Linked DNA regions of Oreochromis niloticus. The protein of the gene in region 1 interacts with the protein of each later gene in a biochemical or structural test. Links are inferred from orthologs where the notes say so. Each region holds a gene or a part of one and is shown in the gene's direction. Other genes may lie near its edges.

What was found. The genes of interacting proteins can lie anywhere in the genome.
Region 2: of the proteins of cul2 (region 1) and dcun1d3, one has a biochemical effect on the other in vitro, tested with the Homo sapiens proteins (2 studies listed by BioGRID, with this or other methods). The link is inferred for Oreochromis niloticus from reciprocal best matches to the Homo sapiens genes CUL2 and DCUN1D3.
Region 3: of the proteins of cul2 (region 1) and dcun1d5, one has a biochemical effect on the other in vitro, tested with the Homo sapiens proteins (2 studies listed by BioGRID, with this or other methods). The link is inferred for Oreochromis niloticus from reciprocal best matches to the Homo sapiens genes CUL2 and DCUN1D5.

What each region holds. Positions count from the first base shown.
Region 1 is NC_031974.2:28,250,696-28,254,450, forward strand, and holds the start of cul2 (cullin-2), read left to right. Parts: upstream 1-1,632; 5' UTR 1,633-1,781; intron 1,782-2,736; 5' UTR 2,737-2,760; coding exon 2,761-2,879; intron 2,880-3,085; coding exon 3,086-3,188; intron 3,189-3,272; coding exon 3,273-3,367; intron 3,368-3,755.
Region 2 is NC_031973.2:19,638,308-19,642,062, reverse strand, and holds the start of dcun1d3 (DCN1-like protein 3), read left to right. Parts: upstream 1-1,145; 5' UTR 1,146-1,680; intron 1,681-1,708; exon of another isoform or gene 1,709-1,921; intron 1,922-2,729; 5' UTR 2,730-2,792; intron 2,793-3,666; 5' UTR 3,667-3,717; intron 3,718-3,755. UniProt on the Homo sapiens protein: Contributes to the neddylation of all cullins by transferring NEDD8 from N-terminally acetylated NEDD8-conjugating E2s enzyme to different cullin C-terminal domain-RBX complexes and may play a role in the cell cycle progression by regulating the SCF ubiquitin E3 ligase complex, after UV damage.
Region 3 is NC_031979.2:35,192,473-35,196,227, reverse strand, and holds the start of dcun1d5 (DCN1-like protein 5), read left to right. Parts: upstream 1-1,222; 5' UTR 1,223-1,374; intron 1,375-3,755. UniProt on the Homo sapiens protein: Contributes to the neddylation of all cullins by transferring NEDD8 from N-terminally acetylated NEDD8-conjugating E2s enzyme to different cullin C-terminal domain-RBX complexes which is necessary for the activation of cullin-RING E3 ubiquitin ligases (CRLs).

The sequences.
Region 1 (3,755 bases):
AAATCGGGGGTTTGAAGTATAGCGTGTGGTTTACAGTAAGATATACAGTACTGTGAAAATCAGGTCTTGAGCCACACCTTATTTCTTTGTATTTTTCTTGGAAAATAGGTAATGGCTGCAGCGATTTACTGAAACGTGTCTAAACATGAATGGAAAAACGGTATATAAGCAAAATTGAAAAAGAAAAAAGGTTATTTTCACGAACAGGCTTCCTAAAGGACATTCAAAGCTTGTCTTTGTATTTTTCTCCCTTTTTGTTCCCTTCCCTGTCAAGATGCTGCTTCGATAATGTCCAAGTCCAGCCTTTGGGGAGGCCAATCCATGACTGCTAGTGTTGCATTGTGTTTTTCTATCCAGGTATGCTTTTACTGTCACAGTCCAGTTATTATGTAATTTGGCAAACCTTTCTTGTCTTAAGAATGGCTTTTTTGACAGTCACCCTTCCACTTCTTCTTCTGTTCTCTATTTTTCAGTATCATTTTTTTTAAGACTGCAAGCACACCATGCTGAGCTATGCTAAGCAATGCTAAATTTTCAGCTAATAGCTCTTTTCCAAAAATGCTATTTTATTCCTGTAAAACTGTGTTATATCTGTATTTTGGATTTTTTTTTCATAAATGGGACCAAATTACATGTTATTATACGTGTTATAAATTACTGGAGTGCAAATAACAAAGTGTCTAAAGATCTAGTTTCAAATTGTTTTTTTGCTGTTTTCACCTCTTCATCATTCTCATCATTCATAGGTTAAAAAAAATCATCTGAAAATTATCAGGTTAAATGACTAAATTGAAACTGAATGCAAAAGCAACCAAATAAACACTTTGAAAGACCTTTTTAAGCTTATTGGAAGTAAAATATAAAGAAAAGAGGGATGGACGACAGACACTGGTTTAGTTGAGATTTTGTTTCATATCAGTAACCTTTTGCTGCAATTAGCTGACAAATATTTGGTAACCAATGTAAAAAGCTGTTAAATGGTCATGTAAAAAACAATATCATGTTGGTCAAGTGTCCTGGCAACTAACTGATATTTTAGCACGTGTAAAGCATTTAGCTAGAACTAGAACTTGTTGGTAAACAAATATATTCTGCCGACATTGTACGACCTGTACACAATGCTGTATTTGAATGAGTCATAAAAGAAAAACTTACCTTGGTAGATGATGATGATTAACTGACACAATTATTTATTTATTTATTTATTTTTTTGCGTGTTTGTCTATCAGTGAGCCCGCTAGGCAGTGTTTTTTTTTTTTCTTGCCCATTCTGATTGGTTGATTTGATCAGTACAAACTGGAATTGTTGAAAATTGGAGCTTTGCTCTTGAGCTGTTTGGTAAAGTTGCTGCATATTTGTGGAACCTAAGGTGAAAAATAAAACAAAAAACAAAACACGTTTTCTAATAAGAAAACATTTCCCATCATAACCCAGAGAATATGAAAAATATATCATTTTTGATGGTCAATCCCTAAACTGTCGCCGTAGTTTGGGCGATACCATTTTAAACGGGTGTCCTCGTGATGTTGATTTAAGGGGTTTATTCTTATCATTACAAACATATTTGGAATAAATTATTTAAAATATTAAACTATTATTAAATGCAAGTAACTACAGGAAATGGCAACAGTATATTTTATGACTATTACCCGTCTCGATAATACATCGGCATCTAACAAAATGGTATAATCCAAGAGGTAGGGAAGACCTGTAAGTGAGACAAATCAAGCCTGTGACAGCGGAGAAATCGGAGTTTTATAACAAGTAATTACTGTACAGAGGTAAGTACTATCCAGGAGTCCTCGCTCGACCTTAGTGAACTGTTTTGTTTAACAGCAGCACCGTGTTCTGCCGAGCTGTCAGTGTAAATGTGGGAAAATTGTGAAGAAGATGACAGTTTTGCTAGCGATAGCTGAGCTACTGTTAGCTTGCTGCTAGCCGACTGCTAGCTGATTCCCCAAAACTGTGCGGACTTGAGCAGGAAGAAGTTAGCTTGCTAGAAGCTAGTTAGCCTTTTAGCTCGCCATCCTATTTTGGGATTGGCATTCCGCTAGCTAGTAACCTTAACTTAGCTACGTTAATCGCGACTGCGAGAGGAATGTTTATTAATAACGCTTCGTGTTGTATGTCGGGCATCTGTAAATGTGAAGTGGCTGATGATGTAGCGGTGTTTTCTGTGACGTGAAATTAAGTGATATGAATGACAAGAAATAACACTGGGCCCAGTTTTCACCTTCTGGTCATGTAATCTGTGATGGTACCGGCGCACACCTAGAAGCTGGTACTAATATTGCTAGGTAACGTGCGTAAGCATGTCTGCTAAGTGATGCTGACACCAGTGTGTTCCAAGTTTGACCGTTAATAATGACACAGTGAACTTGTCTATTCTGTTGATCTCATCTGTTGCTGCCAAACTGATGGCTGATGGTGTTACACTCATTTCTGTTTGTCTACATATAATTTTTGCCTTAAGAGTAATGCTGTTTTCGTATTTGTATTATGGTTCATGTGGATGTAAAAATAAACAATCGAAAGAATACACCTTGCCATGGTTTCTTTTGTGTTGCCAATGCTACTGAGGCTGAGTTGACTGTTACTGTCTTATATAAAGCAAACTACACAGTTGCATCATTAATGAAGAAACGAAAGCCAGGAACTAAGCCCTTTATTTGTTCCTTTTTAAAATCTCTTTGCACACTCCTCTTTTCATGTGCATTTTTTCTGTCGTTCTCTTAGGCTAAAAGAGTACAAAACTGTACAATGTCCTTAAAGCCACGGATGGTAAATTTTGACGAGACATGGAACAAGTTACTGACAACGATCAAGGCTGTGGTGATGCTCGACTATGTGGAGAGAGCCACATGGAATGATAGGTTCTCGTATCCTTTACCAGCTCGCTTCATGTTTAACCAATTTAACCTGCAACATGAGATTTTTTTTTTAAGTTTCAGCACAGGGTTTGAGTGTAAATACAGATTTGCCAAAGCATTGTTGTCATTGTAAAATACATTTGTGTTTATTCATTTTTAATAGCTAATGTGTGTATATTTACATCCCTCACATTATTCCTGAACATTGTCACCAGTGACATCTATGCCCTGTGCGTTGCATACCCAGAGCCTTTAGGTGAAAAGTTATACACAGAGACCAAAATCTTTCTTGAGAACCATGTTCGTCAGTTGTACAAGGTAAGCAAAAGTTCTTCTGTGCTTTTTCTTTGCTTATCACATCGCATTTCCTCTAAAGCTGCCACGCTTGTGTGTGTATTTCAGAAAGTTCTGGAATCAGAGGAGAAAGTTTTAGTGATGTACCACAGATACTGGGATGAGTACAGTAAAGGAGCCGACTACATGGACTGCTTGTACAGGTAACATTTCTGCTTTTTTTTGTGTGTTTGTAATTTCAGTTTCAATTTGATGTTAGTGAGTCACAGAGTTGTTTTACACCATTTACTCCAGCCTTTTTTTCTTTTTATCTATAAACACAATGATTGGACAGCCTGTGTTGTTAGAGGTTTCCAGATTCAAACCATAAACATGTCTGTAGTTGGTTTTTCACATTCACTTTTAACTGAAGGCACGAGTTCACCCAGGCTTCTGTGATTGTCAAGTCCACTTGTTTGTTTAGCGTTCCTTAATGCAAAGTGTACTAATTCTGTTCCTTTACAAGGCTCAGTATTCCTGCCTTTAGTTTTTGTCCCTTAAAATATTACTTTGAATGTTGTTGTATGAGGTGCCAAGAGGCTTTCGGTGTGT
Region 2 (3,755 bases), on another chromosome or scaffold:
ACTGAAGCTACATTTGAAATGGTCTCAAGAAACCTGGGGTATGCCAAATTACACAAGAACTGGACTGAAAAATCAGTGGCAACAGGGCTTAATGGAGTGAGGAATCCAAATTCTCAAATTCATTTACAAATCATTGTCACTCTATGTACAAAGGAGGTCAGTAGAGAACAATGACAGTGAGTGTCTACAGCTGTCTGTGAAATGCCATGGATTGGCCGCCAGAGCATGGACCACAATATGACTGAAACAGTGTGGGAGAACAGAAAATAAAAAAAATAATAAAAAAAGAGATTTGAATGTCCTTGAAGACGCCTGGAGAACTTTTCCTGGAGACTACTTAATAAAATGGCAAGTTAGCTGACTAAGAGACTTCAGGATGTTGCGTTGAAGAATAAAGGTGGTCATATCAAATATTGACCTTCAAGGCCTGCAAAACTCGGTTTAGCCTGTATTTCTATTATATAAATAATATAAATTATTTCAAATTTTCCTTGCAAAATATAAAGAAAAGACTTTTGCAAAGTACTGTAGTTTTAGATTTTTAAATTATAGCTAAATATAATAGCCCTATTCAACGCTAGATGCCACTAAAATCAACACTGAGTTATTAAACAAAGTGTTACATGACTGACGGAGAGGTATTAACTGTATGTTCTAGTATGCGCGGAGACTGAATGACGCTGTATATTAAATAAAACCATTCTTGTTATTTGTACTCACTGATGTTTTAGCATCAATTGCAAACTTGAAGCTAGCCCTTATTGTGACTGACCAAAACGTACAAAGACAGGGACATTAAATTAAAGTCAACGTTACTGCCTGTCACATTAACAGCTTTTAATCGAATATTCGCTCATCATAATTTAATTAACACTACAAACGAAGAATTGACATACCGCCTGTGTCTGAAGAAGAGGATAGTTTACCAGCCGCTTGCTAGGACAGTCGCCTAATGATGACGCGTACCCATGGCTAATCGGGAAGAAGCTAAATAATAAACACAAACATAAAAGAGTTCACATACTTTTAGTCAAAGTTGTATTTGTTTCACTTGTTAGTGGATAAAAAGTAGAAATAAGGCAGAAATTAATATAAACACCTCTACAGTTCAATGTGTATGAGCAATTGTAATTAATTTACAGTGGGGTTTTTGAGTCATTTTTCATTTCGGATATTACTGTGATCTACAAAACATCCACTTTGTCCTTGTCATATGAATACTTCCATCAATTGGTTAAAAAAAAGGATGTATGTTAGTGTCGCAGACGCGAGGATCAGCTGTTGGGTGCTTGTAAGCAGGGAGGAAGTGATGCAGGAAAATGTCCATAATGTAGCTCCACTCAATGACTAAAAGGGGGAAGCACAAAGAAATTGGGTGCTTTAGTCCGAGCTGGCGTTTTAACTCACACCTAACAGCGAACACAACTGAAGATGGACTCTAAAGCTAGTTGCTAGCTTGTTACTTATTTATTTTCTAAGCGTGGAACAGAATTCAACATTGATGTGGAAGTTTTTTTTTTTTTTTGATCAGCTGCTAGCTAGTTAGCTAGCAATCTGAGTTAACGCGACGAGTTTGCTTCAGTTCGTATTTTTTGGCTAACTTGTTTAACTACTTAATTTCTTCAGCCATTCACAAAGTGATGTACATCCACATTCGACCGAATGTGTTTTCCCCTAAAGGTAAGTTTTTTCACGGTGATAATTTTGTTATTTCTTGATGTCTTAATCGAAAAATACCTAGCATAGCCGAGAGCTAACTTTTAGTTAATCGAGCTGATGCTAGCTAGCTATGACGACGTCGCCAGGGCCGGGCAGTTGGGATGGAGCTGTTAAATGGCCCGGTGCGGTGATCTAATGTGGCTCAATAGCAGCGTAACAACGACTGCCATCTGAATTTGTGTGTAATAGTTACAAGTCCGAGGTGCGGGTGATTATTTAATGCCGGTTTACACTATATTTTTGAGTGTTGTACTTGTGTTGTTATGCTCACCCGCCCAACAAACGTTAACTTGTTTGAAATAATATTATTGTAGATGTTAGTAAAGGGCAGCTGAGGATATATCGATATAACAGTGTTGCATATGTAACACAGTCGTATTCCAGTTCACCTCGGGACGAGCTAATAATCTGGTTAAACTACTGGCTGTATAGGTCACTAGGCTGCTTAGTGTTTACTAACTCCCGTGCCAGCTTATTGTGGATTATATTTGGCCAAATAAGCAAAATCTAATAAATAGAAATTCAGACGGCCATCTGAGCTTAGTTAGGTGAACTTGGCCACAGCAGACCTGAGAGAGATTTGCCCCTACATGCCCCATGTATTGATCAGGACTGGCTTTTTGCCCTGATGTTGAATACATGCATTAAATATGAAGTCAAGGGTCGTATCTCTGTTAGGTCAGTGATCACTGCAAAAAGTAGAAGTTGGTTTGAGAAGTTTCCTGAAGTTGTAGCTTTTACATCACAAACTGGAATATTGCGGCCCTTTTGAGATGTAGTTCCTTAAAACCAAACGTGTCAAAGCTCAGCTTTTCACAGTTCACAGTATGCAACATAGCTGACTTCTTTCCAGTTCTAAACAAGTAAATGAAAAATCCTGAAACAAGGCTAACTCTTTGCAAGTCCTCAAATGACATATTCATAGCATGTCGACCAAAATAGACCTGCAGGTTTGGGAATGATGAGCTATCACTTTCTGCTTATGATGACAAGATAATGTGTCTTTTCAGCATTGTGGATGGCAAGGTCACAATGATGGAGCTCAGTAGAAAGACAATGCCATCTGAAGGATTGTAAGTCAGCTATTTTATAAGTTATCAGACACATGATCACCTCATGTTTTTCCGTCAGCAGACTGATTAATTTCATTAACATGCATTCATCAAAGAAACAATTTTTTAAGTTAAATGGGTAGGTAGAGAAAGCAGTTTACAAAGCAAGCTTTAGTTTGATTAATGTAAACTCCAGTTTAGTTGCAACTTGGTCAGGATTTCATAATCTTGTATGCCTTTTGTGTTTTTGCCACATTTTACTTGTTAGAAAACCTAGAAAGTCCTGTATACTAACTTGCAAGATTCAAAATATTAGTATAAAAAAATGCGAACTATCTGGAGCCAGTGTAATTAACATATGTTGCTGTAAAATCCTAAAGAGACATGGATAACCATAGTAGCCCTGTATTCTTTGTCAATGTTTGGTGTTTCCAGTGTTTTTATTTTTCATCTGCTTTCATTATTGCTAGTAGAGAATGAAGAAACAATATGGTGCAATAATCTACTGCTTAGTATAAAACGAGGTAAAACTTCCTCTGTTCAAAGAGAACCCCCCCCCCTCCACACACACACACACCGTTAATGTGAACACAGCACAGAGGATGACCTATAAATGCAGTTATTTGTATCACAATATTTATAGAACTGTATTCCTATTTTAATTACCTATAACTAACTACCTATAACTATGGTGATACCAAGAAAAGCTCCTACAGCCGTCATATAAGAGTTATATAGGTCTTCTGACTTAACACATAACCCACTGGTAGGTTTCTGTGGTTAAGGGTGATACTCCTCTTGTACTACTTTTGACAAGGTTTCTATGGTAACCTGAACAGTGTTTAAGCATTGTATTCATGCCTATAGATTATTTTTGTTTTGCTTTGTTTTTCAGGGTTTTTAAATCTTCCCATTGAAGACTTGGATCGTGGTAGATTTAGCAGAGGTAGCTTGACATCTTCTGTGTTTCTCTGTACTAATATC
Region 3 (3,755 bases), on another chromosome or scaffold:
ATTTCCCGGAGGAACCCACCCGAGGGATAAATAAAGTTTCATCTAATCTAATCTTACTTCATATTACCTTAATTAAGAAAATGGTAAATACACAAATACAATGTCACTGTGAATGACCTAGATTTTTTTTTTTATTTAAGTTTTTCTTTTAAAGAAATCTATGAGAATTTGTGCTGAATATTTACATTTTAAGAGATGGTGTATGGGCCACAATCATGTGCTGCATACACCGCACAGTTACAGGAACACTGGGTTTATTAATGTTCCAACAGCCCTCAGTATAAACATTAACTCTGAGTTAATAAACACTACACAAGTCTCAGGTCAAATGTTCTTTTGCTTACTAAACCTTTAAAAACAAAGACTAGAGAGCAGCAAAGTGTCATATAATGACACCTGTTATATGCATATGTTTCTACTAAACTATATTTTGCATGTAGATTATACTTTTTATCCATAACATTTATTTTTAAACTTGTTATTTTGCAGATAAATTGTGTTATTAAAGGTCAAGCTCTCACTGCAGGATCATCCCTGGATCATCTGCCTCTATCCCGTCCATCCTGCTCACTCCGAACAAACATCATAACATCCTAAACTTCTCTGTCTTTGGCCTCATGTCCTGTCTCCTGCCACTGTCTCCAAACCATACATCACAGCAGGTTATGGAGGGCTTCTCTTTTACTCTTGCTATCACTACCTTTCTGTCATAAATCACATCACCCCTGACACCCGTCTACACCCAGTGCACCTAGCCAGCACCTCCTCTCCACCTCAATGTTTCGTTTTAGTTAACTAGGATAACCTTGCTTGTCGTTAACTCAGAGTGATGGACGAGTTTTTGAACTATGAACAGCTAAAAATAAATAAAAAGTTCAGAGGAAACTCTATGTTAGAAAAATAGCTGACAGAGATTTTACAGTTTAGCATAAATGTTAAAAATATTTTAAACTTTATTACACCCTGCCTCTCGCCCTATGACAGCTGGGATGAATGGATGGATGGATGCATGGACATGAGTATATGTGAGCATGTGAGCCAAAAATAGGGGGACTATTTCTTTAAGAACTAAAACGATATATTCGGCTCTTCGGGGTGTACATTACAACCATCAGATGTTCTCGTTTGGATAACTGTTGTCTAAGTCCATATATCCCTCTTGTAAATGAGGTTAAATGTCATGTTGTATAAACCTCCATTCTTAAAAAAGAGCGTTCGCTCACATTTCTCTGAAGAGGGGAACGCTTGTTTTGTGTTGCACCCCCATAAAGCGGTGGTATCGTCCACTCTCACGGAAACGCCGGCTCCAGCCAAAACTCCGGCAAAAGAGAAGCAGGTGGAACTGAGACAGTAGTGAGAGTGTGACTGAAAGTGGTAAGTGTTTAAAACAGTGCCCTATCGATTACCAGGTGTTGCCCCAGGCACCTGTCTTATATTTGCTTCTAATTATGATGCGAGTGATTTAAAGACTTTTGACGCGTGTTTGGACACATTAGCAGACGTTAGCAGAGCAGCTCTGAAACCCGCGGTGCGCCACTAATGTTAGCTAGCAAACAAAAGAGGTTCACTGTGAGTCAAGACTGACTCTTGGAAGAAAATGAAGGAGATAAATGTGGATTTTGTAATACGAGTCATGTTTTTGTGACATTTAAGTAGCGATAAAATACGACATCCTGGCACGAAGTCTGCTATTAATCATCCTAGCCTGGGTAGCTAACGTTAGCATCAACGGCAGAGACCCGCAGCCGTTTGGATTTTAGCCCAAAGTTTAAAGTTTAACAGTGTCCAGACCCTTAACAGACTTTTTATTCAATATGTACCTGTGTCTTGTGCTTTAGGTGTGTGTGGTGGAGGAATGGTGACATAATCCTGACGTGTGTGTTTCCCACAGAGCTTTTTAAACTGGTTCTGCAGCAGTGCTGTCGTTACCATGTTTATTTTTAACAGTTCAAACGCTGGAAAAAGTTCGCGTTTAATGTCGCAGACACTGCAGCTGCGCGACAGTTACGTTTGGTGGTTTTTGTTGAAATGCAAACGCGACAGCGCCTGTTTTCTTCCGAGCAGTGTCCTCGTTCTTCTGGTGAGCTTTTATATCAAGTCTGAACACGAAAACGGAAATTTAGTGTGATGAGGCAGTCCCTGTTTGCTCCTTCCTTTTAACCAGCTATGCAGGCCGAACCGAACAAAAACAGTGTTTACGAACTGGGCCATTTCAATCTCCAACAATGGCGTCACCATTCATTTTAACAGTACTCAAGTGAATTTTGTGCATTTATGAATCGTACTTGTGACAGTTGCTGCGATGCCACACTCTGCCTCTCCACACATCATCTCCAGGAATCACTTGAATGATCCTAATGGCGAGTAAAGTCACAGAATTCATTGTTGTGTATGTGTCTGGGATATGTCTGCATATGATCATAACTTCCACTGGGTCCTATACTTAAAGGCTGTGGTTCCCCAGTGCTGCCCTGAGGCAAGTCAAGGTGTCCCCTGAGATTTTTGAATCAACGAAACATTGTAACGGCACAAAGTACTAAATGTCATTTCAGTTGACCTCATTGGCCTGATTGATAGTGAGGAGATATAATTGAGCAGCTGGACTTGTGATGTCAGCAGCCTTCAGCCTGAGTTAATCTGTTAATGCTAATATAGTGAGCTAAAGAGGGCCTTGGAAACTAAACATCCTTTTATAGAGAGACTTCACCTGCTTTAAAAGGGTAAAAGAGAGCTGTGTCTGAACCAGAGGCAGCAGGAATCTACACTACATAAACAAAAGTTCTAGGCTGCCCACATATTACACCCACAGGAGCTGCTCTGCCGTAGAAACCCATGCCATGAAGCTCCCAGTGCACAGTTTACATGCTGATCTTAATGTCAGAGGAGGTTTTCAGGTCTGCAGTTACTGAGTCAGCAGAACATATGTGCTTTACATCTCAGCACGCAGCGATCACACTCTGTAACTTTACATGATCTGCCACTTCGTGGATGAGTTATTGATTCCTGAACACGTCCACTTTACAATAATACAGCTGACTGCGGAATATCTAAAAGGGAAGAAATTTCACCCGCTGACCTGTTGCAATAGTGGCATCCTGTTTCAGTAATACACTCAATTTCTTTTAATTCTTTAGAACGACCCATTCTTTCACAAGTCATTCTAAAGGCTGACTGCATGGCTGGGTGCTTGATTTTATACACCTGTGGCTATGGAACTAAAAACACCTGAATTCAAAGACTAAGAGGTGTGGCCCCATATTTTTGACCATATGTATGTGTTTTTGTGTGATAAGAGGATGGATGCAAGTCATAATTTGGTGGTGTTCATTGTATTTCTTAAAATCAGCTAACATTGCAATCAAAAGAAGGGATGATATTTGAAAAGAGAGAGTATGACATGACATTCTGCACATATGAAGACAGCCGAGTCTTAATTTTTGGTTTGCTGTTTGTTTTGCTTTGGGACAAAGGCTTAAAAATCACAGCTCTAAAGGCAGAAATCGGTTCTTTCCTTGAGTTTCTCAACATTCAGTTGACTGTAAGCCCAGCAGTGTAACTGCAATGAAACTTCAATTAACAACGACGCACAGATATGATCAGAATGCCTTGGCTTTGGAAATCTGCTGATACAAAGTACTCCCTTGATGCCAGTGTTAAATAAATTTTCTTCAATCTTCATTTAAATCTTGAAGTAGTGCTTTTTTTGGTTTGTTTGTTTTTCAAAAACAACTTTGTCTAGTGTTGTTATTTTTGAT